Linked DNA regions of Canis lupus familiaris. The protein of the gene in region 1 purifies or fractionates together with the protein of each later gene. This does not show direct contact. Links are inferred from orthologs where the notes say so. Each region holds a gene or a part of one and is shown on either strand. Other genes may lie near its edges. The genes, in order: SNRPA and SRPK2.

The links.
Region 2: the proteins of SNRPA (region 1) and SRPK2 purify together in Homo sapiens (affinity purification with mass spectrometry; 4 studies listed by BioGRID and IntAct, with this or other methods). This does not show direct contact. The link is inferred for Canis lupus familiaris from reciprocal best matches to the Homo sapiens genes SNRPA and SRPK2.

Annotation. Positions count from the first base shown.
Region 1 is NC_049222.1:113,801,642-113,805,215, forward strand, and holds the end of SNRPA (U1 small nuclear ribonucleoprotein A), read right to left. Parts: intron 3,021-3,574; coding exon 2,847-3,020; intron 2,479-2,846; coding exon 2,390-2,478; intron 959-2,389; coding exon 799-958; 3' UTR 574-798; downstream 1-573. UniProt on the Homo sapiens protein: Component of the spliceosomal U1 snRNP, which is essential for recognition of the pre-mRNA 5' splice-site and the subsequent assembly of the spliceosome. U1 snRNP is the first snRNP to interact with pre-mRNA.
Region 2 is NC_049239.1:15,287,008-15,291,252, reverse strand, and holds the start of SRPK2 (SRSF protein kinase 2), read right to left. Parts: upstream 2,941-4,245; 5' UTR 2,936-2,940; coding exon 2,840-2,935; intron 2,553-2,839; exon of another isoform or gene 2,538-2,552; coding exon of another isoform or gene 2,405-2,537; intron 2,052-2,404; exon of another isoform or gene 1,973-2,051; coding exon of another isoform or gene 1,957-1,972; intron 1,868-1,956; coding exon 1,813-1,867; intron 125-1,812; coding exon 65-124; intron 1-64. UniProt on the Homo sapiens protein: Serine/arginine-rich protein-specific kinase which specifically phosphorylates its substrates at serine residues located in regions rich in arginine/serine dipeptides, known as RS domains and is involved in the phosphorylation of SR splicing factors and the regulation of splicing.

The DNA.
Region 1 (3,574 bases):
ATGATAGTCACAGAGAGAGAGAGAGAGAGAGAGAGAAAGGCAGAGACACAGGCAGAGGGAGGAGATTGCAAACTTCAACTCAAGTGTCTCAAGCCCAGGCTACCACTCCTTCTCTTCTTCCAATGAGTTCCTGAGCACTCAGTTCCCTTTCTTTTCTTCCTGAAGTATCTAGCATGGATTCTGGGGACTGTTGCTAGGATGGAACAATTTTTGTGAAGATTCAAAAAAGACAAAAAACCTCTAACATTCCATTATGTTTGAAAAAAAAACATATGAATCTACAAAGTGAATGGCATGCCCTTAAAGGTGGCATCCTTATTTAGTACAAAACCTGTCCAAGATTACATGGCAGCATGGGTTTTAATTTCCTGCTGAATGCTGACTGAGACAAAACAGAAATTTTTCCAAAAGGATTAAATAAAGATGCCTGAGGCTTAGAGAAAGTTACTACACTATTCTGTGTTTCCCCAAAGTTGCAAAGCCCAACACGCTAACAGGTCCAAATACCCAGAATGTTCCGATATGCAAGAAAACGCAGCATAGAAGACAAAAAATGAAAAATAAAAACGACAATTGGTTGTGAAAAACCAAACCTCAAAAAAACACTTTAATTCCGGCCTAACAGCGCCAGGTGCAATGTCTGGGGACAGACTCTGGGTACAATGCTGTGTGGCGACCACTCACTCACACACGGCTCTGAGAAGGCCCCTGAGGGGGACTTACCTTCAGGGGGCTGAGCCAAGGGGGGAAGGGGTGGCCCCAGAGCAGGGGGCAGGGGCAGGCAGGGGGAAAAAGGTGCTACTTCTTGGCAAAAGAGATCTTCATGGCATTGTTCTGGGTGATCTTGAAGCCCTGCAGTGCATCGCGAGCGGCCCCTGCCTGTACCTCATTGTCAAACTCCACAAAGGCAATGTCGTGCCGCCCGGGGACCAGTCGTACCTCCTTGAAGCCAGGGAACCTGGGGAGAAGGGAAGAGACCTCAGGGATCCAGACTTGGCATCTTCCCCGAATGTTCTGGCATCTGAAGTGTAGAAGCCACCAGGATGCTGCTAAACATCCACTACAATGCATAGTAAGAGAGGATCATCCAGGCCCAAGTGTATACAGTCCTAAGCTGTAGAGCCCGGACACAAACGAGTACACACGATGTAAACATGTCATTTAAGGAAATATTTTAACGTGAACACCTATGCAGCCATAAGTTAGATCAAGGAATAGGACACTGCCCCCATGTCCCTCCCTGATCATACCCACCACCGGGTTCCAGAAATAAACACTACCCTGACTTTTTATGATCTGCTGTTTCTCTCATTTCCGCTCCCTCTTCCCCAACTTCCTTCCCCATTAGGCAACCATCCTCATGTTTGCTGGGTACACTTTCTTCTGCACCTATTCTTACGGAGTCTGTATTGTTTCACAGAAAGATATGCGTATGATACTGTATTTTCCCTCTTACGGAGTTTCTCAAAATTCCCTCCCAGCACTGTTACAGAGAACCATCGGCACTGCACTGTTCCCCAACTGCCACAGAGCAGGCCACAGTGAGCAGCCCTTCTGACCTCTGGCTTCTTCCCCTGGGGCTGCCTCCAACTCCCTACCACCCAGAGGAATCATGTCCATCCACACCCCTTGGGACTTCTGTTAACAATGGCTTTAGGAGGGGTTAAGCTCAGCCAGTTAAGCATCTGCCTTCGCCTCAGGTCATGATCCCAGGGTCCTGGGATCCAGTCCTGCATTAGGCTCCCTGCTCAGTGGGGAGTCTGTTTCTTCCTCTCCCTCACTCTCTGCCATTCCCCCAACTTGTGCTCTCTAGCTTTCTCTGGCTATCAAATAAATAATTAAATAAAATCTTAAAAAAAAAAAAAAAAAAAACTTTTAGAAGACCAGAAGGCAGAGCCACCAGGTGAGCACACAACCCTTCCTTCACTGAACAGTGAATGTGTTACCCTGTGGAATAGCCATAGTGGTGTACACCCCGTCACCAGCACTGGGGTTGCCAACATCCCTAACCTCCTACTGTGCAGTCTGAGTGTGCCGATTCTGACCAGCCTAGCCAGTGCTCGATGCCACTGCACTGTTGTTTTATACACACCTGGCATTTTTCTGATTTAGAGGCTGGAAAGAAGAGGCCCAGGGACCCCTGCACCTCCCACGAAGTCAAGGAAGGTCCAATGCTCCCTTGGCCATGCTATGTCTGAGGCTTGCCACTGCCACACCTCCTCAGGCTGTGAGCCTCAGCCTCCACCCTTTATGCCTCCAAGCCACTGTTCTGCCTGCAAATCCTAAGCAGACTCAAGACTCCACCAGCAGAACTCCAAGGCCTGTCTCCACGGTGCCAACTCCTGGGCCATCACCCTCTGGACCCTGCCCAGCTACTGGCCCCACTTACTGGTTGAAAAGCATGGACAGCATGAGCTCATTGGTCTCCTCAGGCAGGTTGGTGAGGAATAAGATGTGATTTGGTGGATTTTCTGAAAGCTGCAAGGAAGTGACAGAGCCTGTGAGTCTAGTGGGAGAACCTACTGCCTTCCTATTTTCTACCCCTGTCCCTTCGTAAGTTCCTTCTGGCCCCTTCACCTGACACGCCTGATGTTGCCTGTCTACACCACCTTGCACCCACCAGACTAAGAGCCATAGAGAACACTGCTGTTTTCATCAGATGCTGCACAGAAGTTCACTGAATCAAGCTGGGCTCTGGTCACTGCTCCAGCCTCACCCTGACCTTTTGAAGCTCCTCCGACATACATATAATCCCTCTCTGGCTCTAAAACAGCACCCCCACCCATCCCTTTCTATTCCCATGTTCTGACTGTTCATAGGAGACCCCAGGAGCAGTAGGTACTTACAGGCTGGGCTGGTGGCATCTGCCCCGGCATAAGCTGCTGTGGGGGCATAGCCCCTGGTGGGATTTGTCCAGGTGCCAGGCCTGGAGGCGGGATCATGCCAGGAGGCGGCATGTAGGGAGGCTGGCCTGGCATGTGATGCATGATGCGGGGGGCTTGAGTCATTGGGGGCATACCCTGCAGAGAGAGGGAGGACAGGGTTGAGTGGGGCACCCAGCAGACAGGAGGGATCGAGTCTGGTGTCAGCAGACAGAAGAGAGTGTCAGAAGACCCAGGGAGAGATTCAGACTTGCAAGGTGGAAAAAAAGGCACCCATGGAGACAAAGGTCATCCAAAAGAAAATGGATGGAGCAAAACAGACCCAACTCAGGCTCGAGGGAGACATCAAACCAGAAACTTAAAAATTTTTCTAACAAAGAAAAACTAATCAGTGTGGTCCAGCTCTGTTGACATAGAAGAAAGAAAACAACACTGGAAAAAATCGAATGCTAACAACAGTCAACAAAAAGAGCGAAAATAAACACTATAATGAGTATGCTGGAGTTTTACTTCCAAAAATACACTTGGGGGTGGGGGTGGGGGTGGGAAGAGACCTACAGAGAAAAAAGGAGCAGACAGTGGAAGGCAGAGATGGACAGGGACAGTCAGGACAGATGGAGAAAGCAATGGAGGGGTGGCAGGGAGGTGGGAGCCAGCCAAAGGGCACAAGGTCATGCACCCAAGGGAGACAG
Region 2 (4,245 bases), on another chromosome or scaffold:
TACAGTTATCTCTGAGAGCAAAAACTGGATATTGTGGATATACGCTAATTCTTTATAAACATACCACATAAATCCAAACTGCAGCAGACCAAAAAAGGCTCTTGGCCATTAGGATAGTCATTCCCTGAAACATGAAAATATGAAATACGTGTTGACTTAGTTAACTAAAACTGCTTTTCTACACGCATGCCCACATACAACATACACATTACATACGTGTATACACACACATAGCCATTCCCAAAACCGAGGACGCGCTTTTTTTCCAATTCCCTTTTACATTTCTAAACATAATGCAATATGTGAAAATAAATGCTTTGTATTTAAGGTTGTTTTTAAAACCCAATACTCAGGATCCTAAACGTTACAGTTCTTCCTTACTCGCGGGCTTCATCTTCCGACATTCAAAGGAAATCCCAAATTTAAGGCCCTGACTTGAAAGCTGGCCAAGTCATTTTGTAAAGCATCTCCAACTACCGCGTCCATCCCGTTTTCACCTTTTAAGAATCCAGTATCAGATTTTTTTTTTTTACCCACCAGTTCCTCAATTCCTTCATAAGTATGTTTCCGTCACTCTAATATAATCTTTTTTTTTTTTTTTTTTGTCTTCCAAGAAAAGGCATTAACTATAGCGAGATGCCCATTTTGGAAAACCCTGAAAATGCTTTACAAGCCCTATCCCATCTCGAGTGAACAGAAAAATTGTCATGATAGCAGCACCGCGCTGGTGAGGCCTCAGGGCAGTGTTCAGGGAGGGCAGGAAATTCTGCAGGCAAGAGACCAAGGCGCCGAGGAGGGGGAAGCCCAGGAACGCCGCAGGGCGATCCCCCGAGACCCGGTCCTGAGGATGATCACGGGCCGCCGTTCCCTACAAGACCCCCAATGCCACGGAGTGTGTCTCGCTCCACAGGAAGGGAGAAGCCACGCATCCAGGAGCGAAAGACGCCGAAAGCCAGGGGCGGGGGCGCTGCGCGGTCTCCGAGCGGCTCTCCAGGAAAGGCTCCCCCTCGGGTCCGCGCGGACTGGGGGGCGGGGCGGGGCGGGGCGGGGCGGGGCGGGGGCTGGCACGGCTCCAGCAGGACCCCCTCCCGCCAGCTCCCGGGGCGGCGGGGGCGCAGCGCGGCTCGGCCCGAGCGCAAAGTTTCGACTGGAGACCCGGCGGGCGCCGGCGCGCTCAGGTCTCGGAGCTGGGCTGGCGCCAGGCACCCCCGGGCCGGCCGCTGGACACCCGGCTCCGGCTTTCCGCAAAGAGGCCGGGAGGCGGGGAGCCGGGGGGGAAGAGGAGGCCGGCCCCACGCGCGCGCACACACGCGCGGAGCCCACGGAGCACGCGGAGCCCACGGAGCACGCGGAGGACGCGGAGCCCACGGAGCACGCGGAGCACGCGGAGCGCGCGGAGGACGCGGAGGACGCGGAGCCCACGGCTCCCGGGCGCCGGTGCCCAGGTGCGAGCCGAGCAGCAGCCTCACGCCCGCACGCGGCGCGGCGGGGCGGGGACGCCAGCGACCCCGGCGGGCGGCGCGCAGGGAGGGGCGGCCGCCGGGGGAGCGGGAGCGGGTCCGGGGTCCGAGGGTCCAGGGTGCTCGGCCGGGCACCGCGGGCCCGCACGCGCCCTCCCCCGCCCGCCCGCCCGCCCCTCCCCCCGGGCCGCCCGCCGGGGCGCAGAGGCGAGCGCCCGCGTCCCCGGGGGGTGGGGGGGGGACGAGCCCGCCGACCCCGGGATCCCGCAACTTTCCCCTGCGCGGCCGCGGGCTGCCCTGCCCGGGCGGGGGCGGGGGGGCGGGGGCCCGGGGGCGCGGGGCACGGACTCACTTTTTCGGATGTTTCTCTCTTTTCGGCCTCCGCTTTCGGGCCTGAATGGCCAGCACTGGGGAAAGAGAAGACACCCATTAACGGTCGGGCCGGCGGCCGGAGGGGCCGCGCGGCGGGGAGGAGGGCTCGCCGCGGGCCACTCACCTTTCCGGGAGCTCATCCCGACGCGGCCGAGCGGGGGCGGGGGGCTCGGCGGCGGCGGCGGCGGCGGCGACGCGGGAGCCGAGCCGGGCCGGGCTGCAGCCTCCTCCACTCGCTCCGCCAGCCGGGAGGAGGCGGCCACCGCGCCTGCGCCGCCGCCGCCGCCGCCGCCGCTGCCGCTGCTCCCCGCGGGGGGCCGCCGAGACCCGCCCCGCCGGCCCCGCCCCCCGCCCCGCCCCGCCCCCGCCGGCCCCGCCCCGCCCCCCGCCCCCCGCCCACCTGCCCCGGCCGCGCAGCCTGCGGCCCGGCCTCCGCCCCCCGCGCCCCGGCCCCGGCCCCGGCCCCCGGCCCCGCCCCTCGGCCGCCCGGCCCCCGCCCCCCGCCCCCCGCCCCCCGCGTCCGGGGCCCCCCGCCCCCGCGGCCGCGGCCGCCCGGCCTCCGCCCCACGCACCGCGGCCCGGGCCCCCCGCCTCTCCGCGCTCCCCGCGCGCCCCTCCTCGGCCGGCGCCCCCGCGGGTCTCGCACCACCGCTCTTCGCGCGGCCTCTTCGCCCCCTTTGCTCCCCGACATCCCTGCATCCCCATGAGCGCCGCCCGCTCCCCTCTGGCGGCTGTGGAAAGGGCACAGGGCCGGGAGCGGGGACACCTGGGACCCGCACGAGCGTGTGACCTTGGGGAAGTCCTCTCCTCCTTCCGCCTCACCTAACCCCACTGCGGGCTTGGAGCGTAATGAGGGAAAAGATGCAAACGGCATGGAAAGCGTGATGAAGTCGTTGTTTTGTTTTGTTGGGTTCTTTGCACCTGAATTAAAGCCCAGCTCGCCAAACACCAAGCGTCTGACGATTTAACACAACAATCGCACCAAGCAGTTGTTGCCTACGTCTTACAGCGAGGAGGCGACGACGTCCAAAGTAGTTGAACAGTTTGCGGAGGGACCGTGCAAGTTCAGGCCTAGCTGACTCCAAAGCCTTTCCATGGATCATGCCGCCTGATAAAGATGGGAATCAAGCTGATAGTGGGTCCGAATGACAACTGCACTCTCTTCCTTTGTTTGTTTAAGTAATTACAGTGTCTTGGAAAGATATCCGCCCCACCGCGGACTCTCTCTGGTTCTACGACTGTGTTCTTAGCTGACCAAAGTAACTAGTCTGATCCTAAAGATGCTAAAACCAAAGAACTGAAAGCGCTGCTCAGACTTGATGGAACTTTTACTTTCTCAACATGTTTTTTTTAAGTTTTTATTTTAATCACCCAGAGGGAGTGGACTCTTTAATCCCCGGCACCTACTTCAGCCATCCCCACCCACTTCCCCTCTGGTAACCATCAGTTTGTTCTCTCTAGTTAAGTACTTTCTCAACTTTTTATTTTCAAAAAGATCTACCCTACAGAGAAGTTACGAGAAAAATATAATGAACACCCGTATTAACCCATATGCACCGATTTTTAACATTTCATCACATTTGCTTTCCTTGTGTGTATGTGTGCCTATGGAAGTTCCTTTGTTTCGTTTTTGCTGAATTATTGAAGTTTTTGCATCGTTACTCTTTACCCTTAACATGTCAATAAGTACCAAGAACAAGGATATTCTACGCAATCAGAATTCCATTATCATACCAAGAAAATTTAATATTAATACAGAGGCCATATTCACATTTTCAAAATGTCCCTTGTAGCTGACTTTTTTCCTATCCAGGATACAATCAAGAATCGTCCATTACATTTAATTGCCATGTCTTTTTTACACTCCTTTAGTCTAGAATAATCCCTGGTTGTTGTTGGGTTTTTTTTTTTTTTCTCTCTCTTTTATAACATTGACTTCTTTTGAGGAATCCAATTCACTGTTCTGCAGGATGTTCCTCAGTTTGTAGTCATCTGTTCCCTGTTAAAGTCAAGTTAAATAATTTTGGCAAGTACGCTATATGGATGATATTGTGTCCATCTCAGTATGTTGCAACAGAAAGGAAATGATGTCAGTTTGTTTCATTATTCGTGATGTTACATTTAATCATTTTTCTATAGTAAGGCCAGCTTTTATTCTTTTCTACTTAAAAAAGTGGTCTATGTTCAAAACGAGTAAAGGACTTGAATACACGTTTCTCCAAAGATATACAAATAGCCAACAAGTACATGAAAGATGCTCAATTTCCTTAGACAAATGCAAAGCAAAACCACAATGAGACACCCCTTTGCACCTACTAGGATGACTATGTTTTTTTAATAGAAAATAAAGGTTGCCTTGATCACCCAGTTGGTTAAGCGGTTAAGTGTCAGACTCTTGGTTTTGGCTTAGATC